Linked DNA regions of Coturnix japonica. The main gene of each other region encodes a partner of the protein of the gene in region 7 in a complex. Links are inferred from orthologs where the notes say so. Each region holds a gene or a part of one and is shown on either strand. Other genes may lie near its edges. The genes, in order: MLST8, DEPTOR, RHEB, MAPKAP1, RICTOR, RPTOR and MTOR.

Evidence for each region.
Region 1: the proteins of MTOR (region 7) and MLST8 are in contact, whole or in part, in a crystal structure (PDB 4JSV), measured with the Homo sapiens proteins. The link is inferred for Coturnix japonica from reciprocal best matches to the Homo sapiens genes MTOR and MLST8. Residues at the interface, in NP_001373429.1 of Homo sapiens: Leu2269, Arg2270, Met2271, Ala2272, Pro2273, Asp2274, His2277, Leu2278, Thr2279, Leu2280, Met2281, Gln2282, Val2284, Glu2285, Val2286, Glu2288, His2289, Asn2292, Asn2293, Glu2536; in NP_001186102.1 of Homo sapiens: Tyr20, His22, Asp42, Ser43, Gln44, Val45, Asn46, Tyr62, Asn87, Glu105, Gln148, Thr174, Arg221, Tyr222, Leu224, Ser268, Arg270, Gly271, Trp272, Trp274, Ser290, Lys313, Val316.
Region 2: the proteins of MTOR (region 7) and DEPTOR are in contact, whole or in part, in a cryo-EM structure (PDB 7PEC), measured with the Homo sapiens proteins. The link is inferred for Coturnix japonica from reciprocal best matches to the Homo sapiens genes MTOR and DEPTOR. Residues at the interface, in NP_001373429.1 of Homo sapiens: Met304, Gly305, Phe306, His1494, Cys1498, Trp1501, Gln1525, Asp1527, Ser1528, Glu1530, Glu1531, Cys1534, Met1535, Ile1536, Arg1538, Arg1547, Gln1554, Leu1556, Leu1559, Gln1562, Cys1563, Lys1566, Arg1683, Leu1685, Asp1686, His1687, Lys1710, Ile1711, Phe1714, Gln1715; in NP_073620.2 of Homo sapiens: Arg54, His56, Leu57, Lys58, Thr59, Tyr60, Pro61, Val101, Arg116, Lys119, Asp121, Gly122, Thr123, Phe124, Lys131, Ala132, Arg135, Arg138, Lys142, Glu177, Gly178, Glu179, Glu185, Cys304, Asn305, Lys307, Gly335, Asp336, Ala337, Val338.
Region 3: the proteins of MTOR (region 7) and RHEB are in contact, whole or in part, in a cryo-EM structure (PDB 6BCU), measured with the Homo sapiens proteins. The link is inferred for Coturnix japonica from reciprocal best matches to the Homo sapiens genes MTOR and RHEB. Residues at the interface, in NP_001373429.1 of Homo sapiens: Arg62, His69, Glu73, Ala101, Thr102, Ile104, Gly105, Arg106, Asn109, Tyr110, Arg112, Asn113, Phe140, Glu143, Tyr144, Phe147, Glu154, Arg160, Thr969, Gln973, Phe977, Lys980, Glu1010, Phe1011, Gln1014, Met1018, Ser1050, Thr1051, Asn1264, Lys1293; in NP_005605.1 of Homo sapiens: Lys5, Ser6, Arg7, Lys8, Arg15, Pro37, Ile39, Glu40, Thr42, Gln57, Ala62, Asp65, Tyr67, Ile69, Gln72, Thr73, Ser75, Ile76, Asp77, Asn79, Asp105, Met106, Val107, Gly108, Lys109, Val110, Ile112.
Region 4: MTOR (region 7) and MAPKAP1 share a complex: the UniProt entries of both Homo sapiens proteins name them as parts of the mechanistic target of rapamycin complex. The link is inferred for Coturnix japonica from reciprocal best matches to the Homo sapiens genes MTOR and MAPKAP1.
Region 5: the proteins of MTOR (region 7) and RICTOR are in contact, whole or in part, in a cryo-EM structure (PDB 6ZWM), measured with the Homo sapiens proteins. The link is inferred for Coturnix japonica from reciprocal best matches to the Homo sapiens genes MTOR and RICTOR. Residues at the interface, in NP_001373429.1 of Homo sapiens: Arg1028, Asp1032, Lys1068, Leu1069, Asp1108, Asp1109, Tyr1110, Asp1150, Lys1187, Asn1196, Val1200, Gln1207, Asp1210, Val1211, Cys1214, Arg1215, Lys1218, Gly1219, Tyr1220, Thr1221, Leu1222, Ala1223, Glu1226, Glu1227, Asp1228, Leu1230, Ile1231, His1234, Arg1235, Arg1238; in NP_689969.2 of Homo sapiens: Leu204, Arg205, Gly206, Asn209, Arg245, Asp247, Val248, Glu249, Glu251, Arg252, Leu254, Thr258, Asp259, Phe260, His261, Tyr262, Arg263, His264, Ser265, Pro266, Asn306, Gly308, Ser311, Gly314, Val315, Cys317, Ile318, Pro319, Glu345, Ile347.
Region 6: the proteins of MTOR (region 7) and RPTOR are in contact, whole or in part, in a cryo-EM structure (PDB 6BCU), measured with the Homo sapiens proteins. The link is inferred for Coturnix japonica from reciprocal best matches to the Homo sapiens genes MTOR and RPTOR. Residues at the interface, in NP_001373429.1 of Homo sapiens: His597, Thr600, Pro632, Val644, Ser645, Gln646, Thr647, Ala648, Val649, Ala653, His686, Ala688, Gln689, Glu691, Met721, Asn722, Pro723, Ala724, Phe725, Met727, Pro728, Phe729, Arg731, Lys732, Leu734, Ile735, Leu738, Thr739, His743, Tyr771; in NP_065812.1 of Homo sapiens: Phe278, Lys282, Cys283, Ser285, Leu286, Pro288, Gln380, Ala381, Asp383, Leu384, Asp387, Glu411, Gln412, Thr414, Ala415, Val418, Trp419, Thr421, Met422, Arg427, Asn428, Glu431, Gln432, Lys973, Ile974, Asp979, Leu980, Glu981, Ser982, Lys986.

The regions. Positions count from the first base shown.
Region 1 is NC_029529.1:6,430,075-6,434,032, reverse strand, and holds the start of MLST8 (target of rapamycin complex subunit LST8), read right to left. Parts: upstream 2,801-3,958; coding exon 2,672-2,800; intron 2,530-2,671; coding exon 2,478-2,529; intron 2,411-2,477; coding exon 2,248-2,410; intron 2,170-2,247; coding exon 2,094-2,169; intron 674-2,093; coding exon 521-673; intron 351-520; coding exon 226-350; intron 41-225; coding exon 1-40. Other genes in the region: hexosaminidase D-like, read left to right, coding at 2,799-2,916.
Region 2 is NC_029517.1:123,194,282-123,198,421, reverse strand, and holds the start of DEPTOR (DEP domain-containing mTOR-interacting protein), read right to left. Parts: upstream 2,801-4,140; 5' UTR 2,708-2,800; intron 2,428-2,707; exon of another isoform or gene 2,357-2,427; intron 2,231-2,356; 5' UTR 2,222-2,230; coding exon 2,136-2,221; intron 1-2,135. UniProt on the Homo sapiens protein: Negative regulator of the mTORC1 and mTORC2 complexes: inhibits the protein kinase activity of MTOR, thereby inactivating both complexes. DEPTOR inhibits mTORC1 and mTORC2 to induce autophagy.
Region 3 is NC_029517.1:5,599,776-5,604,026, forward strand, and holds the start of RHEB (GTP-binding protein Rheb), read right to left. Parts: upstream 2,801-4,251; 5' UTR 2,511-2,800; coding exon 2,459-2,510; intron 1-2,458. UniProt on the Homo sapiens protein: Small GTPase that acts as an allosteric activator of the canonical mTORC1 complex, an evolutionarily conserved central nutrient sensor that stimulates anabolic reactions and macromolecule biosynthesis to promote cellular biomass generation and growth.
Region 4 is NC_029532.1:8,139,174-8,142,673, forward strand, and holds part of MAPKAP1 (target of rapamycin complex 2 subunit MAPKAP1), read right to left. Parts: intron 817-3,500; coding exon 679-816; intron 1-678. UniProt on the Homo sapiens protein: Component of the mechanistic target of rapamycin complex 2 (mTORC2), which transduces signals from growth factors to pathways involved in proliferation, cytoskeletal organization, lipogenesis and anabolic output.
Region 5 is NC_029547.1:11,150,918-11,153,895, reverse strand, and holds part of RICTOR (rapamycin-insensitive companion of mTOR), read left to right. Parts: intron 1-356; coding exon 357-495; intron 496-665; coding exon 666-740; 3' UTR 741-2,978. UniProt on the Homo sapiens protein: Component of the mechanistic target of rapamycin complex 2 (mTORC2), which transduces signals from growth factors to pathways involved in proliferation, cytoskeletal organization, lipogenesis and anabolic output.
Region 6 is NC_029533.1:4,901,798-4,906,006, reverse strand, and holds the start of RPTOR (regulatory-associated protein of mTOR), read right to left. Parts: upstream 2,801-4,209; 5' UTR 2,424-2,800; coding exon 2,262-2,423; intron 1-2,261. UniProt on the Homo sapiens protein: Component of the mechanistic target of rapamycin complex 1 (mTORC1), an evolutionarily conserved central nutrient sensor that stimulates anabolic reactions and macromolecule biosynthesis to promote cellular biomass generation and growth.
Region 7 is NC_029536.1:3,612,817-3,616,316, forward strand, and holds part of MTOR (serine/threonine-protein kinase mTOR), read right to left. Parts: intron 3,371-3,500; coding exon 3,170-3,370; intron 2,826-3,169; coding exon 2,691-2,825; intron 2,254-2,690; coding exon 1,978-2,253; intron 1,670-1,977; coding exon 1,561-1,669; intron 740-1,560; coding exon 553-739; intron 452-552; coding exon 323-451; intron 1-322. UniProt on the Homo sapiens protein: Serine/threonine protein kinase which is a central regulator of cellular metabolism, growth and survival in response to hormones, growth factors, nutrients, energy and stress signals.

The DNA.
Region 1 (3,958 bases), on a different chromosome or scaffold from region 7:
GATCTTACATGTCTGATCTGCAGAACAGGTAGCCAAGAGCCTGCAAGGATAACACACGCATAGGTAATCTTATTAGTTATGCTGTACATGTAAAGGCCTCATTAATGCAGGCCTGGCACAATAATGAACTGAAGCCCTGCGTATTTAGTAATCAGATTTCTTTACCCCATATCATCTGCCTTACAAGATTCAAGCTGAACTGATCTGGTGGAGGAGCACACTCACGTGGAGTCAGGGCTGAACTTGCATTGCAGGGCATAACGGTTGTGTGCTGGGATCTTGGTCTTGGGGATCAGCTGGGTTACCTCCTCTCCAATGCCACCCGTCAGGTTCCACACGTAGCAGTTTCCCTGCAAGGAGATGGGACGTCTATGACTGGCTCTGTGGACCTCAGCCAAAAGCAGCCTAGACTCTGTGTCCCATCATAGCACAGCAAAACTCTATAGTGCATAGAAACTGGCTGCTTTTGCCCCACAAGGACAACCCAGCACTGCAAATCCCATCTCATGCCCAAGCTCACCGAGCTGTTGACAGCTGCCATGTAGCTGGCATCAGGGTCAATGTGCACAGAGTTCACGGAGACTTCAGGCTCTGGAATCAGCTGCTCATTGTGGTCTGTTTTCAGGTCCCAGATGTGAATGGCCCCGCTCTGGTCACCCACAATTAGCTCAGCCTGCAAGAAAATAGTGACAGGTACCTGAAGAACACAAGCCTAAGTGGGTTTTTCTCTGTCTCTCCTGCTCCAGGAGGGTAAGGACAGGAGCCAGCTGAAGGGCAGCAGCTCTGGCTCCAATCCCTGCTGCTCAAAGCAGCAGACAATGCTGGCAGCACTCCATTAAAACCACGGCTTTTTATCGACAGACTTACACTGTCCATAATTTTAGCAGAATCCCTAGAGGAGATCAGGTCATCAGATGCAGCTAATCCTGTACCTGTGACCCACGGCTTGCTTCAGGAGAAGACAATCATCCCTTGATATATTTAGCTGACTGTGTAGTGCAGAGGCATCTCCTGGACACCTCCTAGCCCACTCTTAGCAGCATCTGCAAATACAATTCTAACACAGCCGTGGCTTTACCCAGGCCATGAGAAATCCCTCTCTGAGAATAAGCAGCTTCACCCTGTCCATACTGTGGATCTATCTGATTAAATACTGCCACCTCTGGGCTAACTAACTGTCCTGCTCACAAGCCATTGCTTCTACAGTAACACAAAGTGATTATCTCACACACATGATTTATGCACAGTATTTGTTTTAATGCAACACATTCTGAGTCTCATGGTGCAGCAGCAGCAACATTTGGCTGAAGTCAGTTCCAAATGACCAATCTCACATTTAGTCCAGAACTCAGTATTTGTAATACTGAGTTTTTACAGAAATCAAAAGCAAAGAAACATTTCTATTATTCATATTTTTTAAAAGATTTGCTTTGAGAAAAAACCAACCTTATGCTGCTTTGTCTGCAGCTCCCACCCTGCAGCACCATGGATAAAGAATGGATCAGATGCGTTATTAACACTGCAATGATACGCATCGATTTCACCACCATGCCCACTAATGCATCCCCATCATCCCCATTAGCTCCATTTCTTTAACCCAAGTGACCTCTCTGACAGCTTTTGAACTGAGTGGTGGATCTCCAGCAAACCCTGAAGACACCACAGACCTTACTGGGGCTGTTGGCCTCTGCTTTTTTCTACTGGTAGCACTGCTTGTGTCCAACAGCCAGCAGGTAACTAGCACAAAGATGCTCAGCAAAAACCTGATGGTTCCAGCATGGATGCTGATGCTTGCTGCAGGTGCAGTATGAGCAAGACAGAAGCCAGAGACATCTGCTGGCTGCCAGCCCTGCTTGAGGATGTTTGTTCCCTGACAAGAAGCAGCAAAGGCAGGGGCAGGGCCACACTCTGCCTGCACCAAGCCTGGTCATGCAGCAGCTGCTCTGCAAGGGAATACATGGACGTGCAGCTGCAAAGCCACCAAGAGCCGAGGGGTCCATGCAACCAAGACCATGGGCTGAGCAATGCTCCAGACTGCCAAGCATTTGAGGGAGCATCACCTTTTCCAGGAAGGCCAGTGACAATCAGTGTACCTGGTTGGGGTGCAGGCAGACACAGTTAATGGGAGCATTGACTTGGAAGATCCGCTGGCACTGCAGGTTACGAGACCTGCAACAAAAAAGAGACCGAATGAGCCCACACGAGCCTGCGGAGGAATGTTCTCCCTGCAGCAGACCCCGCGCTCACCTGAGGTCCCATATCCGTGCCATGCAGTCCTCCCCACCCGTATACATCCAGCGCCCATCCTCGTGGAAGCCCACGGACGTGATGTTCTTGCTCACACCATCGTAATTGATGACGGGGTTGGGGTTGTTGGAGTTGAGGTCGTACATACGGATGTGTTGATACCCTATGGCAGCGAATGGAGCTCAGAAATACCAGGGGCACCCAGCGACCCCAAACACCCCGGGGCTCACCTGCGGCTGCGATCATGCTGCGGTCAGGAGTGATCTCCAGGGCGTTCACCTGCTGCCAGCAGTGCTAAGGGCTGTATGACACCGAGACCACACCGAGACCCCACCACCTACACCGGGCCCCCCCCTTAAGCTGGGACCCCCCCCCCCCGTTACACCGGGGCCTCCCCCCTCACGCCGGTCCCGGTGCAGGATACGGAGTCCTGGTGCTGCACGGTGCGGGTGCAGATGCCGCTGTGCGCCTGCCAGAATCGCACCGTGTGGTCGTACCCGGCCGTGGCCAAGATAACGGGGTCGCTGCCCACCGTGCCCTGAGCCGCGTTCATGGCGGCGGCACCGCGGAGCCGGTACGGGCTCTGCGCAAGCGGGTCGGTGATGTCAAAGGAGCATGCGCAGAGAGCAGCGGCGGTGAGGCGGGACTGCGGGGCGCTGTCAGCGCTGAGTGAGTCACATCCCGACATCGCCGCCAGGGGGCGCTGTGATGGGAACGGCCGCACCGAGCGGAGCGGGGCAGGGGGCTGGGGATTGATGGGGGTGTGGGGTGCGGGTACCGGGACACGGGGTGCGGGCACACGGGGCACAAATAGGGCACAAATAGGGCACAAATAGGGCACAAATAGGGCACACACGTCCCAGGGCCGGCAGGGCACTGAGCCAGCTCGCAGCAGAGTCCCGCCGTGCCGGTGCAGCGCTGCTGTCGGGCCCTTTAAGAGCGGCGGTGGCGGCCGTGGGGCAGTGCTCGTACCCGCGCCCGGGGGGTGCCCGCCCGGTACCGCACCTGCCGGTAAGGGGCGCTCCGGGGGCTGGGGCTGTCCTTTAGTACCGGGGCCGCCATGCGGTACCGCACCGGGAGGCGCAGCCGTTCCCTGGGGCGGCCGGTGCGTCCCTGTCCCGGGGGAGCGGGACCGACCGGGCGCGGCGGTACCGGGGCTGAATCGCGGGGATGCTCCGGGAGCGGGGGTGTGGGCTGGGCTCCACGCGGCCGCCCCCGCACGCACCGCCGCGCTGCGGCAGCGTGGGCTCCGCATGGCAACGGCGGCGGGACGGCCGGGCATTGCGCTGAGCGGCTCCGGGAGGTAAGAGGGGAACGGGGCCGGGCGCTGCGGGGGAGCGGGACACGGCCCCGAGATGCGCTCAGCCATGGGAGGGAGCCGCTGCTGCCATCGGTGCTGCAGCCCGGCACCGGCAGGGTCTGATCCGGGCAACCTGCGCTCTATTCGAGTTAGATAACGGATATTAAAAACGCCCGGTCTTGGCGAGCTGACAGCGTCTGTCCAAATATTTATCCCCGCTCTGATCAGGCGCTGTGTTGCCATGGCAGTGCAATTAGCGCTCTGTCTATGAACGGCCTTCCTGCGGCCAGGGGGTGCTGAGCTCCCCATACCGCTCTCAGAGCCCCATACCCTCCCGCACCCGCACAGCTCCTCCCACGAGGGCTGACACATCCATCGCCGGGCGGGATGGAAATGCTGCAGGGATGGGAT
Region 2 (4,140 bases), on a different chromosome or scaffold from region 7:
CATCTTACACTTTACTCCCAAGTTATGCATTCCCCTTGCAGCATGCAACACCTGCCTTTGTGCACTTTCACCCAAATACACACAGTCACCTGTCCCGCTGCATCACTCCCAAAAGGTCTTATCTAGTATTTGCAAGCATCACTAAGAAGAGTACAGCATATTTCCTCGAATGCACGAGCATGTTGGTCTTCTATCGTCTGTTTGTCTGCCCCAGAGGCTTCTGAGATAACCAAACTTTGATCTTGAAAGCCCTTCGTGTTTTCATTTAGCATTAACAATTACACACTTATCTTGGGCAGGAAAAGGGAAACTTTAAATGCATGGTTAGCCAAAACTTGTCTACCAGACAGTCTTCTTCATCTATTCTGCAGTTGTTAACGTTTGGAAAACCCTTGTATAGAGCATAACAACAGAGAAACATAATGCAGCTACCAGAGATAGGGGAAGAGAGATGTCTTAGGGTGCAGTTTCCCAGGGCAGCTCCACATGATCCAACAGATCCCTACTGCCAGAATGGGAGATCTGCTTCTTCCCCACCACCCCCTCTCCCTCCTTCTGGCTCCATATTCCCACCATCCATCCTCTGGAGATGCTGGCAGTCATCATCTCACAAAACCAGCGTGCTGGTCACAATGGAAAGGTGCAGGGATGTGAGCTGGCACTGCATAGGACTACAGAACCATGGGCAAGATGGGAAGGGGAAAGGGAAGCAAATCTATTCTGCAGTAGCTAGGTGTAAATGGAGGCTGTGCAATCAAACCAGTCCAGGGTGATCTAGGCCATTTCTGATGTACGCATCAGGGAATGCCCATAGGTAACTTCATGGGACCAGGATGGGGAATAATTATTTTGTAGATGATCTTGGCCAAAAATAGCATCACATCTAATTACCTTAATAAATAAAATTAGGGACATGGTTTAGAGAGCAAGGTGGTGGTGAGTCAATGCTAGACTAGATGATCTTAGATGTCTTTTCCAACCTTAATGATTCAATGAAATTATAAGTGTCATCCTTGATTGTGACAGTAATAAGCTGACTGTGGGAGCCAGATTTGTTGAAGTTCTTCCATCCTCTCCTTAGAAAACAATTGCAAAGCTTTTGTTTTTACATTTAACTTCAAGGAATACAGAAGGTCTTAAGTAGATCTCAATAGAAATTTTGCATTACAGTTGAATATTCAGCTTTTTGTGAGGTGAGATGGAAGCTGTAGGAGTCTTGTCAGCACTTTAACAAACCCAGCACCCAAGCCTGCATGCTGATGTGTCCTAAACAGGCTGCCCAGGGAGGTGAGGTGGTGGAGTCACCATCCCTGGAAGTGTTTAAGAAACCTGTAGATGTGCCACCAAGGGTTTACTGGGCATGGTGTAATGGGTTGATGGCTGGAATAGATCTTAGTGGTCTTTGCAACCTTAATGATTTTAAGATCCTTTCAATCCAGGTTTCACTTCAAGCTGCTCAGACGAAGAATCTTAAGCATAGTGAAGTAGTTGAGCCAAACCACAGAGATGTTTACTGCCTGAATACGGCTATCACTGATGTGCACTGCACAGTGCCAACGGTGCTTGCCATGTCAGTGCTACCAGTACCAATGTCAGTGCCTGCAGAAGCAGCAGGGATGGCACCTTCCCAAGCAAGCAACATTGCTGCCATTCTGCACTGCTTGTCCAGCACCTGAGCAAAAAGTTCAAAGAAAATTCAAGCAAAAGCCACTGAGCACATCTTGTTCCATTCTCTTTCTAGTTACACATTTAACACACAGTAATAATAATGGGGTATTTCCTCCAGAATCACACGGTTCATCGACAAGCCGAAAGCCTTACAATTTCTGGTCTCCTCCGTAGTGAATGGGTTGAGACAGCGCACCGAGCACATCCCAGAAATTAAAAATTAACTGAGTCAGGCGTTGTAATTAACAGTTTCGGCGCCGCACAGCCCCGCTATCTCCGCGGGGATCCCCAATCCGCAGCGATATCGCAGCGGTCCGGGGGCTGCGGGCTGCGAGCAGCCGGGGCCGGGCGGGCAGCGGGGCAGGCGCTCGGCTTCCAGGGGGCACGTCTTCAATCCCATCCCTCCCGCCGCTCGCCGGGACCCCGGTCCCACAGCACAGCCCGGGAAGGGGCATGGCACCGCTTACCGCAGCTGCTCGCCGGTCAGCAGGACCTCGGCCATGTGCTCCAGCTCGGTCGCTTTCTGCTGCATACTGCTCATGCCCTCCTCCATCGCCGCCGCCTGCGGGCACAGCGCAGCGAGCTGAGGGGAGCGGGTTCCAGCCCCCGGCCGCAGCTGCAGCCGCTGCAGCCCCGATCCCCCCGCTCGTGGCCGGGGACACCGGCAGCCTCCCCCCGCCGCGCTCACCTGGAGGAGACGGAGCGCCGTTTCGGTTCGCTTCCCCCCCCCACCCCCTCCAAAACCCGCCCCGCTTCCCGTGTTATTGTGTCACGGGCGGGGAGAGAAACACATGGCTGCGGCCGCCACGGCACGGCTCGCCGAGGCAGCAGCGGCCCCCCCCGGCTGTCACACGGCAGGGAGGCACCGGCAGCCCCCGGCACGGGAGCGGCTCTGCTGGGGCTGCGCTCTGCCCCATACCCCGGCTATGGGGTGCGCGGAGATGCCCCCGGCCGCGCTGTCCGCACCGCTGCCCGGCTCCCTGCGCATCCCCCCCGCAGCCCGGGGGCCTCTATCACACGTTGCCCCGTTCCGCCGCACCTCTTTGTCCCTTTGGCGACGGCGACCGCAGAATTCCTGCGGGCTGAAATGCGTTTCTCTCTATATTCAGTCTTTGAGATTGGAAGTGCGAGGTCATGAACGCCCTTTGTTAGCACTGCTGGTGGAAAAAAGCAGCAGAATGGAAACAAGTCCAAGGCCACTTCTTGCAGTGGTCCGAGAAGGGTTTTCATTTGCAACAAAGCATAATCAAGGTACGCCTTGATTGCACACTCATTGCGCTTCTCTCTGCCTGCGCACACTGTGTGCATGGAAAACTGCATCTGCTTCGTATTTGTGATATTGTCGTAGCTGGATGACCATGACTGTGGTTTCGGAACAAGGACAAGCATTAACAAGGAATCACATGAAGGAATTGAGCCCAGTATAAACCAGGATGAAAATAAAGAGGTGGTTAATCTCCAAACAACCCATGTAGACTTGCAGTATTTATAACTAAAGGAGGCTCTTGATTAAAGTAATAATAATAACAACTTAGAGTCAAGGGAAAAATGGACAAGTAGTTGGAAAATAAGTGCAAGGAGGGCTAGGAAGCAGACAGGAGCCACGTCCAGCTGAGAAAATTCTCTGCTAAAAATAATTGGAAGCAAGGCAAGCACTTGCAAGAAGTTCCACATGTGCCTTCTCTGCTGTTACCCAGCATCTGTTCACAGCCACTTGTGAGATGAAAATTGGGCCAGCTGCACCTCTGGTCCAGCCCAGCACAGTCACTGTAGGGAATGTCTCAGTGTGTCTCAAAGAATTCCCCTGACCAATGGGTGGTGAGTGAAGGAAAACTGGGCCAAGGAGGGAAGACTGGGCCGGTAAGCAGAGCCATGCAGGTGGCTTTGGATCTCATGGGCTTGGTGCTGACACAGAGGTGGAGTGGGCCTGGGTGGCTGAGAGCAGGAATAGAGAGGAGGAAGAGGGAGGGGAAGAAGGGGAAGAAGCTGTGTTTCGGCAGTGACAAGGCAGCAGCTTGACTCTGTGTGCTTGTGGAACTGCAGCCTGAAACACATTTCTTTCCTTGCAGATCAGATTATTCTCACAGGTCAGTGCAATTTCCTGTACTGAATTATTTAATGCTCATAGGCTGCCATGTTTGCCTTTCCACACTGATATCCCATTTGTAATTTGTTCCACATGTTCACACTGAAGTATCTGACAGCCACAGTGTGCTTCAAGGGAAGGGATTAGGTATCAATCATCCCAAACCTGATGTCTCTCCTTGATGGTTAGCTGACATAACCCTGAAGGATCACGTTTCAGAGTCAAGAGCAAGAATTATGCTACATAAATTGACCTGTTTAGATGTTTCTAGCTTGTATGTTTTAATGCACAGACTGCTATAGAAACATGAGATCTAGTAAGAGATTAAACTGACCTGGTCCTCCCTCCCAGGCCAGACTGATCACCCAGTCTAACCGTCCACCTTC
Region 3 (4,251 bases), on a different chromosome or scaffold from region 7:
AGGGTCAAAGCTAACGTTAAGGTTAATGGCAGTTCCCTATTTATAAAAGGAAGCTCAGAAGCCTTCAGCAGCCCTTCAGATCTTGGAATTAATTATCCCCCACCCCGACAAAAACTAGCTCTGTTCAAATGTAACATCCCTTATTTCATCTGGGATGGGATCCTGTCTTTTACCCAGGGTTCAAGTGGAATTCATGCCATCGTGATATCAGACTTACCTATAAGTCTATCTGAAGCCAAACCATGCTGTTAATTCTCCTGGACTTTGCAAGGCATCCTTGGGTTGACTTCATGTCATGCTCTATGTTTCTTGTTTATCTGACAGCCCTACATGACAGAACACCCAACAGCTCACGTCTATTGCTGGATCTTTTATGTAAATATTTGCCTAGAAACGTAAAGCTCCCATACTTAACTCTGTGGCTTAAACATGCAAGATTTATACCTAAGAACAAGCAAGGCAACAGAGTTGTCATGGTTAATGAAAGGCAAACTATTACTTCTCTTCTGTATGTCTACAACAAGCAGTTGTCCTAATGGAACAGACCATGTCCCACAGAGCCCCAAACCACATCAGTCTCATGAAGCTGCAGGTGAAGGAGCACAGTAGTAAACCCTAATGGGCAGGAGGCAACTTTCTGCTCACCTCCTTCTATACAAGCACCAAATCATCCTGGGTCACACCAGCAATGGCATTAATAATGGCTATGTGCAATGTGTGCTGTCAGGCTCAATGGATCATCTACCCCTGGACCATCCAATGTACTGAATTGACAGCGTTCCTCCTACCCACACACACTGCCCAGTGCTTGTTTGAGTCCGGACTCGGAGAAGAAAACATAAGGAGACAAGCTCCGAGGCTGACTGTGCCGTATTAGACACCCCATGTGAACCACCAACCTCCTGCAGGCTGCTCCCTTCCAGCACCATACAGACACAGCACTGTTTATCCAGCCTTGAAGCCAGGCTGCTGCTACACACACAGCATCTAAACAACTCATGTAACCTTTTTTAATCTTGGGAAAAGCAAAAGGCGTTGTTACGGATGCTGAGTGTGCGACCGCAGACACACCACTCACAGCACAAACCCTTCAGCAGCACAGCGGCACCTTCCTACAGCAGTTTATTTCCCAGCCACTCGTTATCCTTCCCATCGATCTACGCTTTTAAGTCAGATCGATGCCGAGCCGCACCGCTCCATTCGTGCCCCACGACGCTGAATCTGGTGGGGCTGTAGAGCAGCTCCCGGCTTGGATGGCGCCGGGAAGTTCTTTCCTTCAGTGTTGCCGTACGATCACAGAATCACAGAATGACCCGGGTTGGAAGGGACCTCAAGGATCATGTAGTTCCAACCCCCCTGCCTGGCAGGGCCACCAAACATACACCTTTACTAGATCAGGTTGCCCAGGGCCCCGTCCAACCTGGTCTTGAACACCTCCCAGGACGGGGCATCCACAACCTCCCTGGGCAGCCTGTTCCATGGCCTAACCACTCTCCTAGTGAAGAACTTCCCCCTAACATCCAACCTAAATCTTCCCTCTTTTAACTTAAAACCATTTCCCCGTGTCCTGCTATTGTCAGCCCTTTCCAAGAGTTTACTCCCCTCCTGGGTGTAAGTTCCCTTCAGGTATTGAAAGGCTGCAATGAGGTCACCCCGCAACCTTCTCTTCTCCAGGCTGAACAAACCCAACTCCCTCAGCCTGTCCTCATAGGGGAGGTGCTCCAGCCCCCTGATCATCTTCCTGTCCCTCCTCTGGACCCTTTCCAAAATCTCCCATGTCTTTTTTGTACTGAGGGCTCCACACCTGGACACAGTACAACAGATGGAGCCTCACAAGAGCCGAGTAGAGAGGGACGATCACCTCCCTATCCCTGCTGACCACCCCTCTCCTGATGGAGCCCAGGATCCCATTTGCTTTCCGGGCTGCCAGAGCGCACTGCTGGCTCATGTTGAGTCTCTCGTCCATCAGGACCCCCAGGTCCTTCTCTGCCGAGCTGCTCTCAAGGACAACTCCTCCCAGCCTGTACAGGTGCCTGGGGTTCTTCCTGCCCAACTGCAAAACAGTGTTGAACCTCATTAGGTTCAACATAACCCCCGAGCCCAGCTTTCCAGCCTGTCGAGGTCCCTCTGAATGTCACCCGTTCCCTCCACCGTATCGACCGCACCACTCAGTCACTCCCGATCCCGGCACCGCAGCGCTCCGTACGTTCATCCTACACGTCTACAGACAGAGGAAACGGGCACAAAGCTCCGTACACCCCGCTGTTCCCCCCCCCCGTCCCGGTGCCGTCCCCTGTCCAATTAAGGGCACAGTCTCACGTTGGCTCCCGGGCCCGCAGCGCTCTGCGGCGCCGCCATGGCGCCTCCCGGCCGCACTGCGCGGGGCCCGGCCCAGCCCTGCACCTGCCACCCACCCACCCACCCGTTCCCATTTCGTCTCCCCCCCCTTAACACTCACCTACGCTCCTGTAGCCCAGGATCGCGATCTTACGGGATTTGGACGGCGGCATCTTGTCCCCCGCCCGGCCACGAACCACATCAAGGGAGGAGGCGGACGAAGAAGAGGCGGAGGGCGGCGGGAGGCTGCGTGTGCGCCGTCAGCCTCATGCGGCGCTGGTTGTTGTTATGGGGGGGGGGGGGGGGGGGGGGGGGGGTTGGAGGGCGGCGGCGATCGATGGGCCGAGAGCGCGGAACCCGCGGCGGCAGCGCCCGTCCCCTCACGTAGCGGTGCGTCACGCGTCACAGGCCGCAGCGCAGCACGGACCGACCGACCGCCCCCACCGCCAACACCGCGCCGACTGCCGGCTGCACAAACCCGCTGCGTCATGCCGGCCCACCTCACGCCCCGCCGGGCGCTGATTGGGCAGTTGCTCGCGGTTAGAGGGCGGGGATTGGATGAGATCGGTTTTCAAAGAAAGGAGGCGGGGCTAAGGGGATGCGTGGGAGGGGATTGGTTGGATGGGGGTTAAAAGCCGCGCGTGCGCCGTGGTGCGCCTCCAGACGGCGGTTGGGTTGTGGGGTGTGAGGGGCTGAGCGGGGCGGGATCACCTCAGTGTGACTGTCCTCCACAGGAAGGAGTTAGTCCTAACCTCAACATGAACCTCTACTAGTGCCATGGGACCATCTTATAGGCTTCATGGAGATCACCCAGCTGCAATGCCCTGCCATGGTTCACAAATGGTACCTCAGCCCCCAGATCAGGCCGCCCAGAGACCCCATCCCACCTGCCCTATAACCCTGTGGGTTACGGGATCTCCTGCCCTACAACCCTGTGGGTTACGGGATCTCCTGCCCTATAACCCTGTGGATTACGGGATCTCCTGCCCTATAACCCTGTGAGTTACAGGATCTCCATGGCTAAGTAACCTGTATCATAGCACTTCTACTTGGGATAAGTCTTAGTGCTTTCCTGCCGTGCTGAGGTTGTGGCTTCCCAGCAGCAGCATTAGCAATAGGGCTTCCCCTTTGCCCCTCCCCAGTGCTAATCCAGCATCTTCATTCCTAGAGTGTTTTACCCTGTGAGCTACAAAGGAGTTCAGAGAACGCTGCAATGAGTGACTGACACCAGTACAACCAATCGTTGGTGAGTTATAATCGTTTTATTATAAACGACATCCCAACAGATGCGGTCAACGAATGCAATGGTCTGGGTTCCAAAACAAAGAGTGCCGGCACAAATAGAGCGTGTATATACACTGAGATCAGGAACAGATGTTGAGGCTGAGAAATGGGAAAGCATCGGCCTTTTGTTGCCTGTGTCTGCGATGAATTTCCTCTAGGAAACGTAACCCAGCAGTTCAATGTTTTTATGGCAATTCAGTGCATACGAACCCATGGACACAGCGCTACTCAAGTTCCAAATGCAAAACACATCTGGCTTGTACATTCAGTTCCTATAAAAGCAATTAGCACTTTAATTACCTGCTCGATCCTCTGGCCAACCAGCACCTACTGGAGGAGCTATTTGAACTGCACCCAATGTTAGCACTGGGTGTGCTCCCATATGTATGGCTGCCCACTGAGGTTAGAAAGTACACTCAGTTCCATCCCACACTTGTCCCTGGCCCCTCATGGATTCGACAAAGATCATCTTTCTCTAATGTCTGCTTAGAAATACTGACAAAAGCATCGTCTGCAGAACATTCTTGTTTTGCATAACGCACGTGATGTGGATCCAAGGGTACTATGAAGCTATTCAGAATGATATTTTCTCCTGTAGGTTACCCTTAGCAAACATTAAATGTGGGAGGT
Region 4 (3,500 bases), on a different chromosome or scaffold from region 7:
GAATCTCAGTTACTTTTTGACAGTGGATAGTTACGTTTTGACGCCACCAGGAGACACTGTCCCATTCTCCTAGGGCTTATCTTGTTCCTTTTACAATGAGTTTTAGGAATATGGACTCTCATTGCTCCATGGACACAATAAACAGCACTGAGCTCCCTGGCTCTGCCCTCTGCCCAGTGACTCCTCCATACAGGAGCGCTCCGGCAACTGCCTGCCCTACCACCTTCCTGAATCAAAACTGACCCTGCAGCCACAATGGAAGCGATTTCAGACTGATACTCTCTGCATGTCTGAGATCCTCATGTGTCTGAGGAATTGTTCAGAGCCTTTCCAGATGTTAAGAAGTTCAAAGATATCACAAAGATGTGGAAATGGGTGTGTGACTCCTGAGCTGCAGCCTACCCAGTGATTCCTTGGTGCGGCACTGCTGGCGGCTACGGACAGCGGGCAGGAAACTTTAAAACACCACTGGCTACAAACAGCATTAAAAGGACACTCATAAAACGTGCATCTGTTTGTGTTATGTTCCCTACAACAGAATCAAGTCAGATTAAAAACATTCTATAATGAATAAAATACACCTATAAAAGGAAAGGACATGGCAGCAATAATTCTCTGGGCATCCAGCACACTGAGAGAGGGAGAGGAGAAAGGACATAAATAAAAAGGACTACTCACTTGGGCTCTTTTCTTCCACAAGGTCACAGGCACAGAGGAGTTCAGAATCGATTGAAATGGGTTTCTGCTTAATCCAAAACTTAGTGCTGGCCTTCTGATTAGTAACAGGGTCTATCTCTACCTTGTCTCCAGAAATACCTGAGATGAGAAAGAATAGAGAGCCACAATAGTGATCTGTTTAAGTGATTTCATATCAGCCATTTGACACACTTTATAAATCTTAAATGGGATGAAAGTATATTGCCCTTCTGGGCTTTTTGAAAGCACAGGAGCTTTTGAAACCAAAAGCAAATGATTATCAAAGTGCATTGATAATCTGTATTTTATTCTCCTGCCTTGTTGGGAAATAAGCATCCCAATGAGAAAAAAAAAATCACAGGAAAATTTCTTCTCAGCACACACAGAGCTCTTCTGGAAGCAGCACCTACATGAACTGCAGGATGTATATGAAGATACATTTTCAGTCATCACTACTATATGTGAGAGACACCATCACACGTCACTATTACATCTCCTGGGCAGCACACATACAACATGTTCTACACAAGGACAATATGTGTTTTAGTATAACAGAAGTGCTCTTTGTGGTAACCAGATACCCACAAACAAAGGCACCAGAGATCCCACAAATTTTACAACACCAGCATTTTGCAGCCAGCTCTGATGAGGCTGCAGTGATCACAGACTGGGAGCTGGGGAGCCCCTGGCCCCACACAGCCAGCTTAGATGGCTGGGTTGCACTCCCACTGCACACAGGTATGTGCCTCCACACACAGCATCCTGCTGCAGCCCTTTGGGGACAGAGTGTAGAGCATTCCTACACTATTGCCTCTCCGTATGTCTCCTGAGCTCCTGTAAGCAGTGTTTGTGCAGTGGGATGCTAACGGGGAGCTGCAGCCTGCATAGAGTGTTCATTGCATTTACTGCAGGCTTTGTCATGGCACTGCTGCACTGCGCTGCTGGGCAGGAGCTCACTGTTCATTGTCTGCTGATGGGACAGAACAAACTTCAGCCTCTTAAAGTCACAGCTTCCAGGTGAAGCTCACGGTACAGCAGAAAAAAAGGAAGCAACAAAGGGTAAATGAACTTCGGTTTACTCTTGCATCTTTGGAAAAATGGCAGAGAACATTCTCCTTTTCAGGGGCTTTGGCTATGATGCTTTTGAATACACTGCATTTGGTCTGTCTGAAGCAGGAGAAAAGCTGATTATAAAACCTCTAAGAGGTGCGAACAAATAAGCATTGGATGCCACAGTCATAACTGTCTCAACCCTCAAAAACAAAGTCAGTGTTTCTAAAAGCACAGTGCTGCAGAACTTGCAAATCACCTTTGTCAGTACTTTATGCACCTAAAATGAAAGCACACATAGCAAACAATGCATGCTTGCAGCAGCCTTCTTGCTGCTGTCCTTTCCACTGAACACAGGGTAACCTTCACTTTACCCCTGGCTGCTGAGACAGGTGGTAACAATGCCACTGACTCCCTCCCTGCTTCTATTAATCCAAGAATGCACTTTGTCATTAAGCATACGTCACATCAAAGATACCACATTTCAATTAAGCACTGTATCAAGAGTCCAATTAATACAAGGACTGTTGGAACTAGGTAATGGGAGCAGGCTGACTCTGTCTGGAGCCCACTTTGTTTTGCAATGTAATTTCGGACACATAAATTAAAATCAGTTTTGTTATCTCACAGTAATTGATTATTCATTATTGTTTCCTGTAACTTAATCAAAATACATGAAATTGATGACATAATAAAAAAGTCAAGGCAAGTTCTAGGAATAAAAGTGCAAATTCTTTGTGCACAACGGATGCTCCCCAGCCCTTCCTTTAGAAAAAGTCACTCCTCAAAAATATCCTTTAAAAATTTCACAGCATGGTCCTGCAACTTCAGCATTCACAGTCAGTCAATATTGTTAACGTACCTTGTTAATTTGATAGGATTTGTCAGGTAACTCCACTGGAAAATTATATAAAACTGTTCCAGATGAACAGATGATAGTGACATGAATTAAAGTGATAGAACAATAGTGGAATATAAACCAGAAATGACACCCAAAGTGGCTGTTGATTTATTGCCATCCTGAGTTTGGTTCTGGGCTTCCATGTATATTAGTGCTACAAATCTGGGTCCATTTAGCAGAGAGATGCTCATACATACATCACCAGCTCCTGCTCCAAGCCAAGGTCACTCCCCATTGCATCAATCTTTTCAGCAGAGGCTACTTCACCAAGCATGGATTTTGTTACCGTCTCAGATGTAACAGACTTCCTCCTCTTTCATCTTTTTTTTATCATGTAAAATACACTTTAACTTCTATTATTTTTATCTGCAAATTGTTGCTGTATACTTCATCCATTATTTCTGTATCTCGACATCACTGGCTTAAGCTCACACACATCCAAAGAGCACATTGACAAAGAATGCTGTCTTTTTTGTGTTATTGTTCTTGCAATCTGTGCGCGTTGAAACCTAAAATCAAAACAGCATTATGTATGTGGCTTCTACAGACTCTATCGCAGCGCAAATTTATTATACTCAGAAAATAAGCAAAAATACCTCTTCTAGGATTTTTAAAATTCATTCAATTTAGCAGCAGAAATGTCACAGCTGCAGTACTCCAGTAATGCTGCTCTGCCCCCACTCCCCTTGCTGGCTCTGCGATGCCCCTGCCCCACTGAAATGCTTTTTGGCAGCAGCTTTCTATGACAACGTGCTTCTTTTCATTTTGCTAACATGGAGCACAAGCAAATTTGTCTTATGCCTTCACAACATGACTGCACCTTGCTAAAAATGTTGGGAGCACTACTGTGAGT
Region 5 (2,978 bases), on a different chromosome or scaffold from region 7:
ATAAAATATTGTATTCTCTCTATTTAGTTTTTAGTACTGCTATACATGCGGATGCCTCTTTGCAGTTATTTTTCAGTATCTGCTGTAGAGTAGGTGATCTCAGATATCTGTTCCAAAAGGTGTACAGAATATTCTAGTTCATCTTTTTGATGCAAGTTTCTTCCGGTTTTATAAGACAGTGCTATCTGATTTTTTCTTTGTCTGTCAGATGTAGAATTTACATTGCCTATTACTGAAGAGCTCTAGTTCATTAATTATGGAAGCGAAGATTTAATTGTACAATTTTAGAGATTATTATGGAAACCTTCTCTCAGTACTTGTAAAAAAAAATGTTTGTTTTCTTTGCTGTTGATCAGAATTAAGGAGAAGTATCCTCAAGCATTTGATGACATATGCCTGTATTCTGAGGTGTCCTACCTGTTAGCACATTGCACATTTCGACTCCCATCCAGAAGGTTCATTCAGGAGCTGTTTCAAGATGTGCAGTTCTTACAGGTAAGTGGAGGGTGCAGAGAATCAGAAGGAACCAAAACGTGACAACTGGGTACAGGTTTCATTACAATGAATAATAAATGCTTCCAGGTGTTTTATTAAAAAAGATAATTTTACGATGTTATTCTTGTAAAATCTCTAATGACATTAATATTTCACCTGACTTCTTTCAGATGCACGAAGAAGCGGAGGCTATTTTAGCAGCACCAACAAAGCAACCAGTAACTGATATATCAGCTGAATCCTGACCTCTGTCTCACAGAGTTCATTACATACAGACTTCCTGGAATTCTCAGACATCCTCCAATTGACTGGATAATAAAGTTTGGAGCATCATCTTTTAGACTGTTCCAGAAGCTACTGGTACCTGAAGAATGAACTGAAAAACTTTTTCTTCCTCAACCAATTACTGCCCTAGTCTATGGAGTCCCTTGGGGATTTATTAAACATTATGTAGTTCTAATAATAGTAATTATCAGTATATGCAAGAGCCGAGCACTGAACACCTCCACAAGTTTTCATTTCATTTTTTACCTTAAATNAAAAAAAAAAAAAAAAAAAGAACAACACACAGAGACACCTATGATTGACTTCTAATTCTGTTCTGGAGAAGCAGAATTACGCCTTGCTTTTTTTTTTTTTTTTTTTTTTTTTTCCTTTTTTTTTTTTTTTTTTTCTTTTTTTTTTTTTTTATTATAAAACCCCAGGAGTTGGATGAGGGTGCATTCCGTTGCCAGCAATGGGGAGCTGTGCTGTGATCGTTGACAGCAGGGGATAAATGTTAGATCTTTTCTGTTGATTTTTGTACTGTTTATAACACTACTTGGGGGGTTTGTAACTTCAGACAGAAAGAAAAGCCTCTGAATCTGAGGTTCCTTTAAGTTATTTTAATGTTACTGTAGTTGTAAGTTGTTTTATTAGCAGTCTCTCCATTTTCATTACATTTACATACATGTATCTTATCTGAACCAGTTAAGGATTTTCACTACAGTTTGATTTAAAAATAGCAAATCATTTAAAGTTAAAATGCTGAAATCAAATTGTTTTCCCTGAATGATATGCATGCGTTTGCAGTTTCTACGCTCATGCTCATATAGTGTGAATGTTGGTCTTATTCTTAACTAAAAACCTTTAACAGGCATGATTTGTATCAGATAAATGAATATTGTATAAACTAGACTTGAAGACATTTAATCATTGCTGCTTTTGTGAGAAGGCATGTGAGCGGTTTTCCAAGTTCCATGAAAACAGCCTTTTATAAAAACAAAGGTTTGATTGAGTTTTCAGTGGATGAGTGATCAAGCGTCAGATAGTGCTAATAATTGTAGTGAAAAGCCTTAAGTACCAAACTTTGTAGCGACAGAACTTAAAATTTTATATTGGAATTTGAGACTTGTTGCAAAAGTTCTATGATACAGTGACTGTTAATGAGGAAAACACATGCCTCTATCAAACTGATGAAGTTTCTAAAGAGTGCAAGCCTAATGGAAAAGAAAAATATAGGAGTCCCATCACTTTTATAATGCATCTAAAAATTCAGAAGCCTTCATACAAGGGTAATATAAATATATGCAAATGTGTATATATACAGTAGCATGGCCACCTTTGTTAGAATGACTGTAATAGAAGGGGTTACCCTTTGATTTTGATATAGGTGAATAATTCAGCTGGACTGTACTAAGTAGGACGTATTTTTATCCATTCACTTTTACCATTTTTATAATTGTCAGATTAATACTTAAGTGAAGATAAGTGAAATTTATAAGATAGGTGATACTCATAACTGTATTCTTACGAGCTATGCTACTGGGGATTTCAGTAAGTTGTCTTGTGAGCAGTAAAACATGAATCCTAGTGTCATTTTAAAATGTACTTGCTTTCATTGAAAACTTCATCTTGCCGCATAAGCACTGCTTTGCAGATATCACTTCACTGAGTTCTTATGTGCACTGTGTACCATCAGGTTCTCATAAAGCAGATCTGTAAGTTGCTGCTCATAGCCAAGTCTAGTTCCTGAGATTCTTCTCATGAGTTCCCACTGAAAGAAGGAGCAGATCTTCAAATTCACGCATTTGGTAGTCAGTGACAGACATAATGTATCTGTGTCAAGAAATGTTTTGAAATATTCTGAAAACATACCACACCAGTGATGGACTTCACTGGTTATAAGAAATCTGTAAAACCAAAATGCCAACCACAGTAGACCAAATAGTGGTGTAAACTCCAAAGGAAGTAATGTAATGTTCCCAAAAATGGGGCTGGCGTATCTTACACAGTAGTTTCAAACACTACCTCAGTTAGGCTAGAGTACAAGAGATTTGTTTTAGTAACTAGATGGGGTTACATCAAACAACTCCATGTGTTGGTTTTTTTTTCTCAGTTAAAGCAAAATAAACAAGTTCTATCACCTTTATTTAAATAAAACACACGTGTTCATTTGTTACCAGCTTAATACATAGCACTTAAAGTAGAAAGCGCAATAGAAA
Region 6 (4,209 bases), on a different chromosome or scaffold from region 7:
ATAACAGGTACAACCCCTCCAGCCCTCTCTGAGTCTTTCAGTAGAATCTGGGAGAGAGAAAAGCACAGCAGAGGTGAATCAGATGGGAAGAAGGTGGCGAGGACCAGGAAGGGAAACAACAAACCAGGAGAGTGTGACAAAGTAGCACTCAGACAGAGACAGTTACATGTTGGTTTTAGTTTGATTAGCAACTGTAGACAGGTGTCAGAGGCCTCCAATGCTGACTCAGGGCCATAACACCAACTTCTCCTCACTGTGCTGCAATGCTCCACAGATAGAAGCAACCTTCTGAAATCAGCTATGAGACGATGAGAGGAATTCTTTATAAAACCAGAGAGCATAACCCAGCAGTAACGTGAATTCAGGAGGAAGGGAAGAAAGTAGTGTTCTTCAGCAAGAGGTAATTGCACAGAATGGCAAACTTGTCCAAATGAGAGCAAATAAAGCTGTCCAAATACACAGTGACAAGCACTTCTGAGAAGTTGTTTCAAGCTCACAGCAAAAACAGAAGGAATAATCAGAAACATTCTGACATGCTTCGACTTTCTTATTTCACAGAAATTAGTCTCAGTCTGCATAAGGATGAATGCTGGGTCTGAATTGCTGAGCTTTGTGAGACATGCAGAGTACTCCAAGAGAAAGAAACTGCAACCCCACAGGCGCATAATGCTGTAACCACTGCTCTGCTCCTCACTGAGATGATTCCCTTTGTATGTATGAAATGCACTATAACAAATACAACTGATTACTACTACCTCTTTACTCATGCTCGTGCTGTAACCTATTGATTATCAAGCCAATGACATTCCCAATTTAGAAACAGACAGCTCTGCACATCATCGAACAAGCAAACAGGAAGATCCACAGGAAGGCAGAAGGATCACTAAAATAGACAAGTAATCTCATCCCACCTCCACAGTCTAGTAGAGCAAACAGCTTCCATGCCAAAAGCCTTTAAAGGAGGCATACCTACAAAACTGTGTCCTGTGGCTCATCTAAATTAGACTCTAAACAAAAAATTAATTCAGTCCATTAATGATCTGCCAAGTCAAATTTTCAGTACATAATCACTCAGATGATCCTGGCTCTGCCACTGCTTCCCCAACACTCTGCAGAGCTGTTTGGGTGAATGCCTCTCTAGGAAATGAATGTACAGCATCCTCATTCCCAGTCATAATGTCTCTGGAAAGAAATTAAAGGAATGAGTTTCATCTGCAGATTCCAAGCTGAGGTCAGAGTATTACTAAAGGAAGTGGAAATGTAACAGAAATCTGGTCACACACAAAACCACATACAGCCATATACAAATATATATGAGTATCGCAACCATGAGACCCCAAGAATCCTCTGACCCAAAGCACATTCAATGAACTGTAGGACTGAAGCTGATTATCCTCTATGTTTCTCTGGTGTTTTGTATGTCTACCTATTTGTTTTTAACTTAAGTTGGAACACAGACACTGCTCTGGATTGATGACATCCCATCAGATGCCCATCACTCTTATATACAATACAAATTCTAACATAAGAGCCACCGTTCTATAACACTGCAAATGTTTCATCTAATAATTGTCCTCTGTCTCCAGATTCACATGAGCTGTTTCCTGTCTCTCAAACACACACAAAGAACACCTTAATTTTACATTGCACATAACACGCTGCTGGCAAACTTCAAAAACCACAACACTTCCTGCACCTTCACCACCAAACAAGCGTAACGACTGCATTCATTGCACCTCGTGCTGTTACCTGCTGATCCACAGCGCCCTGTGAGACCTCACTAATTTCATTGCCTTCACTGAAGAGCATCAAACTCCACTTACAGAGCTCAAACGAGGGAGATATTCAGTGTGTTGCTGTGATACATATTTGTCATAGTATCTCCTGAGTTGGACAGAACCCAACAAAGCTCTCTCTGTCTCTCACCTGCCGGCACACAGAATGAATCACACAGAATGACCCGGGTTGGAAGGGACCTTAAGGATCATGTAGTTCCAACCCCCCTGCCTGGCAGGGCCACCAAACATACACCTTTACTAGATCAGGTTGCCCATGGCCCCGTCCAACCTGGTCTTGAACACCTCCAAGGACGGGGCATCCACAACCTCCCTGGGCAGCCTGTTCCATGGCCTGCAGCCCCAGCACCATGCAGACATGGAAACCATGTTACCCCATCAGGATGAATGCCCACAGCCCTAATGGGGGACGAGCAGACCTCCTCCCTCCCTCCCTGCCCACCCCCTCCCTCCTTCAGCCATTACCCGGTCCTTCATCCTCCAGCTCTGCGCCAAGGACTTGGATCCCTCGATCTTCTCGCAGTGTCTCTTCTTCATGAAGGCCAGGGGCAGGTTCCAATCCGTCAGATCCGACTCATCCTCCTCCCCCAACCCCAAAAGGGGAGACTGCAGCAGCTCGGACTCCATCGGGGCGGGAGCTCCGGGCACTGATGGAGCGGCAGCCCCCGGCCCGGCTGGCGGAGGGGTCACAGCGGGCACAAAGCGGCGGATCAACCCGAGGGCGGCCAAGGGCAGAGCACGGCCCCAAGGAGCGCTCAGCTGCCGGGGGGGGGCCTGGGCCTCCCCTCGTTCCTTTACCCCCGCGGGCCTCGGGGAGGGAGCCGCGTCCGGCCCATGGCGGCTCCGCGTTCCCTCGGGACCGAGGGATCGGTGAGAGACGAGGCAGGAGGGGGAGGCGGAGAGAGGAGGGAAGAAGCGACCTGCAGCGCCGGCAGCGCGACTCCGCTTAGCAGCGCGGCCAGGAGGCGGCCATCTTCTCCGGCCCACAATACACCGTGCTACGGAGCGCCGAGTGGGACAAACAGCGCCGACTGCGGTTGCACATTAATTAATTAATTAAGTCCATTAACATCACAGAATCACAGAATGACCCGGGTTGGAAGGGACCTCAAGGATCATGTAGTTCCAACCCCCCTGCCTAGCAGGGCCACCAAACATCGCTCTCAATGCAGTTCTTCAGTGCCTTCACTCTCATCACTAACAAACCACATTCACGTTGATAACATCCGAGAGCTATGAGCAAAAACATGAGTTATCAAAGCAAACACACGTAATTTGATTTATATTAACTTCCAGTGATGCTTTCAGCTTCTTTACATTCACAGACACCCTATAGGCACAACCCATCTTCTTTACATTCACACTCGATATGCACAATCCGTTCTCCTGGCTGGACAAGGCAGTGTGTGAACAACTCATGTGGTTCAGCATTTCATGGTGCCACAGCATCTGCCATAAGGAACAGCTGCAGCCCTGCTCACCTCCAGCACTGACAGCAGCGATCAGAATGGGAGCAGTGATTGCAGCATCCATACACAGTGCAGATGGACCTCACGGCCGTGCTGCTGCTAATCCTGGCTGCCGACAGCATTAGGAGCAATGTACCAGTGCCTGTCCTGACAGAGCATGATGCTGAGTGGCCCAGGAGTGCAAATACCTCTGAAGGGCACAGCTGGTGGAGGACAGCGAGCACAGATGTCCCTCTATTCACATCAGCAAAGCTTGCAAGCAGTGGCTGGTTAAAAGCCAGGCCAGGTGTTTGCCCTGATCCCATGGCCTGTGCTGGGAAAGCTGTGTGTTCCCTGCTCTCTACCCCTTTATTTGATGGCCCCTCTCCCAAGGGAACAGCTGCATGCCCCACTCATCTCACAGCTCACACAACAAACGTTCCTCCAGGCTCTGTGCAGTGATTCAGGATGGAGCTTTGACTACCTCTGGCACTTAGGCTTCATCACAGGGGACACTGCAGAAGAGCTGGGGAGCATCAGAGACATACCCTGCTGGAAAACAGGGACCTGGCAAGGCTCCCTGTGAGCCTTCTGTGGCTCCACAGATGGTGAAACACTGCGAGTGCCTGCAGCCACGAGACACAGCCTGCACATGCAGGAGGGGCTGGGACATCACTGCCTGCTTGTCCATGATGTGCAAGTGCCACACACCCCATTTCCAATCAGACCTGGGACCCCCAACCCAGCCCATACATGAGCTTCTCCCCAGGAACCTCCCACAAGGGGACACTGCTCTGCTGACAGCGCCCAAAACAGGTGGGGTGACAATCTCCACGTTAAATACATATATATTATATATATATATATATATATAAATAATAAATTATAATATATATATATATATAATGCATGATGAAAAGAACTTAACATTTAGTGTTAGTGACAGTGAACTTGCAAACTGACCA
Region 7 (3,500 bases):
GCCATCGTGATATGGCAGAAATCTACTATTCTTCAGAGGCTTTCTAAACTTCTGTGGGCTGCTGCCAAATAGCAGTGGGAAGTAAAGGAGATTGCCTTTGAATTCACTAGTTTATCGAAAAACAAAAAGATTTATTTACAGAGACCAATGCTCTTAAGTAATTCAAAAGACACATAATATTACTCTTCTGAATGAACACTACAAACCATTTAAAGAAATAATCTTCCTTCAGAACCAGAACACTTTCAAAATCAGCTTCTGCATGGGCAACAATGCCATCCAGTGGCTAATAGAAGAAAGTGCTCCTGTGCCTCATACTTACCTCAGACCCACGGCCAGCATAGGTTCCAGAAGCTCTTTAATGTCCTGCTGGATACTTGGTCCCATGGCTCGTGCCAACATACTAATGCAGGTGAAGACTGTAGCATCAACCTGCACAGACTTCTGCCTCCTGGAAAGAGAACACACAGTAGTTAATCAATATGAGCTGCTATTTTTCAAACATTTTTTCCTCATCTCATCAGTTTCTTCCTCTAACTTCAGCATACTTACTTGTGAGCAAAGTCCTTTGGTGGAAGAGCTGCTTTTATTATTTCAAGGACTTTTGGCAGATAAGCTTGAAACTCAGATCTGACAGCCACAGAAAGCAAACCCAAGGCCTGGAAGGCTGCTGTTCTCTCCTTCTCCTTCTTCACGCAGCTGAGAACATGGTTCATGGTGTCTGGAAGATACTGATCAGCTGCCCACAAGAGAGAACAAGATTGGAAGTCCTTTAGGCTTATACAGTTGCAGCAAATTTGTAACTATGTATTTACAGGTAGAAAATTAGGGTAAGGACCCTGCAACATAAAATTCGCTGGTCTAGGTGGGGGCAAACATGTCACTACATAATAAAACTCCCACAGCCTCAAAGGCTTTTTCTTCTTTTGAAAAATAAGTTCCACAGAAATGAAAGAGCTACTAGAGAACACTGCAACAGGTGGCCCAAGACACTGCCTAGGGATTATATACATGAACCTGAAACAAGTACCTCATTTTATAGTGATTGATTGGAAACTTAATGGTGATTTTCCAACCTACTTGGATCAGTTTGATGACATGCCTACAACTCACATATTCTTCTAAGCTTGCTTGACAAATCAGCTGAACCGCAGCAGCAGCTACTTCTCACTTTACGTTCAGATTTACTGGCAAAAAGACAATTTAATACTGCTCACAGTATTAAAGTCACACTCATTGTGATCAAGAGAACAGAGCTCAGCCCTAAACGTGACACACAAATACAAAAAATAAATGAAGTTCTACTTCTTAAGGTATTGATTACAGAACTGAGAGAACAGCTTACTATAAACCATTTTCTTCCTCAGACCAACACACCAATATCAGATGTCAAGTCATATTTACCCAGAAAAAAAGGCTGTCCTCCCACCACTCGCATGGAGGATTTTGCCTGCTCGTCTCCCAAGCACCACATTTCTACTTCTGCATTGTCTGCACAAACTCATCTGGGTAACTTCAAGTACAATTTCATTTCTAATATTTAGCTGTTTGTCTCCTCACCTGTGAACGCTGAAGGACGAAAAGCTGCCAGCCGTGGTAGGAGATTGAGAACTGTCATCTGGATCAAAGAGTTTTTGCTGGTTCTGCACTTAAGAACCCACTGGCACACCTGAAAGGATATGGATTGGGCTCTGAAGGATGGCTATTGGTAGTAAGGCAAGACTGCTTATTACCTGGGTACCTTAAGGCATCTATTGACATTTGGCTTCAGAGCCCATCAGGAAGACAGATAATGAACAAATTAAACCACTGCTCCAACAGAGAGAGTTACACATCACTGCACTCTTACACAGAACTACTGAGTTTTGATGCCCCAATTCAGCATTAGGCAGTATTGTCTGCCTAATAAGGACACAGAGGTCCATAACATTCAAGAGGCTGTGTTGTGAATTTGGAAAGGCAAGACTGAACACTTACCTGATCAAACTTCTCTTCCATTAGATCCCTGCAGCATCGACTTTCTACCAATGTAGACTTTGCTGGCACAGGTGAAGTTGCAAAACCCATGATTCCTTGGTGGGCGTTGTAACCCAGAAGACCAGCCAAAGCATTTGACTGAGAAGGCTGAAGAGACTGGAAGCTAGTGAAGGGAGTGATGTGGCGAGGTTTGGTACTAAAGCCCATCAGGTCTTTGCAATACTTGTCATGCACAAGCTGCTGCTGAGTGATCTCCTCCATCTCCTCTCTAAGGCGCTGGATAAAGGAGAAAAGCACATTTGAAAGAAAAGTAGGTGACCAGAAGATAACCAGTCCAGTGCTATCTAAATCTCCTAAGCAGTATGTTGTATCATTGATATCCAAATGGCTGGAAGACATCGACTAAGCTAAATTCAGCAAAAAATATTTGGGTATCTAATTTGAAACAAAAGAGACTGCACTCTGTATAACTCTTTTCTATCATAATTAATTCAATTAATAGCACTTTCCATCAGAGCTTGATACCTATTCAGCCCAAACTTGTCTTTTCTCTGACACTATCTAACTTGAAACAACCAATGCTCTGATCCATGTTCAGATCAATCCATTTCAAACACAGTGGTTTATTTTCACAGGTTGCTGAGCTGCAACCCAGTGTCAATCAATAGATTGGTAGCCAAAAGCCACAGTCCCCATCATGCTCATTTGCTCACCTCTCCCTCCATACTGCTGATCCTCACAAGCTCATTGAGGATCAATAAGGCACCATGGATTCGGTCATCACGGTTCATTCCTTTCTCCTTGGCCAAAGTTTCATCAAAACCCTTCTCAGCCTCTTCATATGTATGCTTGGGGAAAAGGAAAAAAAATTAATCTCAGTGATCATAACAGAGGTAAAGCCAGTGGAAAAACAGTAATTCATACTGCTAGCCAAAAATCATCTCCAAGTTGTAGAATCTGCTGCAGAATATTCTCTACAGCACTAATCAAACAGCCATGGTACAAACTTGATCCATAGCTGCACCACGTTTTTGAGCACAAGGAAGCAGAGTTCACAATATTTAGCTGCGCTACCCAAATTGTGATTGATACTAGGAAGCCTTAACCCAAGTGACAACAGCAGCAAAGCTGAACTTCAGACAAAGCTTAACTCTTCTAAAACAGCTGTTCCAAAATAAAGTGATTTTCTTACTCTGTACCACTGAGGTTTCTGCATTTCTTTTGGTTCCCGCTGAGTGGTGAGGATAAGGCAGGCTCTTAAGGCAGAAACAGCTCCTTCTCGAATGGCCTGTTTGGGATCCCACACAGCCACAAAAATATTGTCAAAGAACGGCTGTACTTGTTGAAAGAAGAAGGTAGGCACACTGATTGCCAACTCACGCAGTACAAGAACCTGGAGGTGGGGAAAGAAACAGTAAATCTGTGAAAATGAGCACCCATACACAAACCTCAATACCTAGAATGCAGCATCCTTTATTTAAACTGTTAGTGCCCAGGAGCCTGAGCTGTAACCAGTTCTGTCC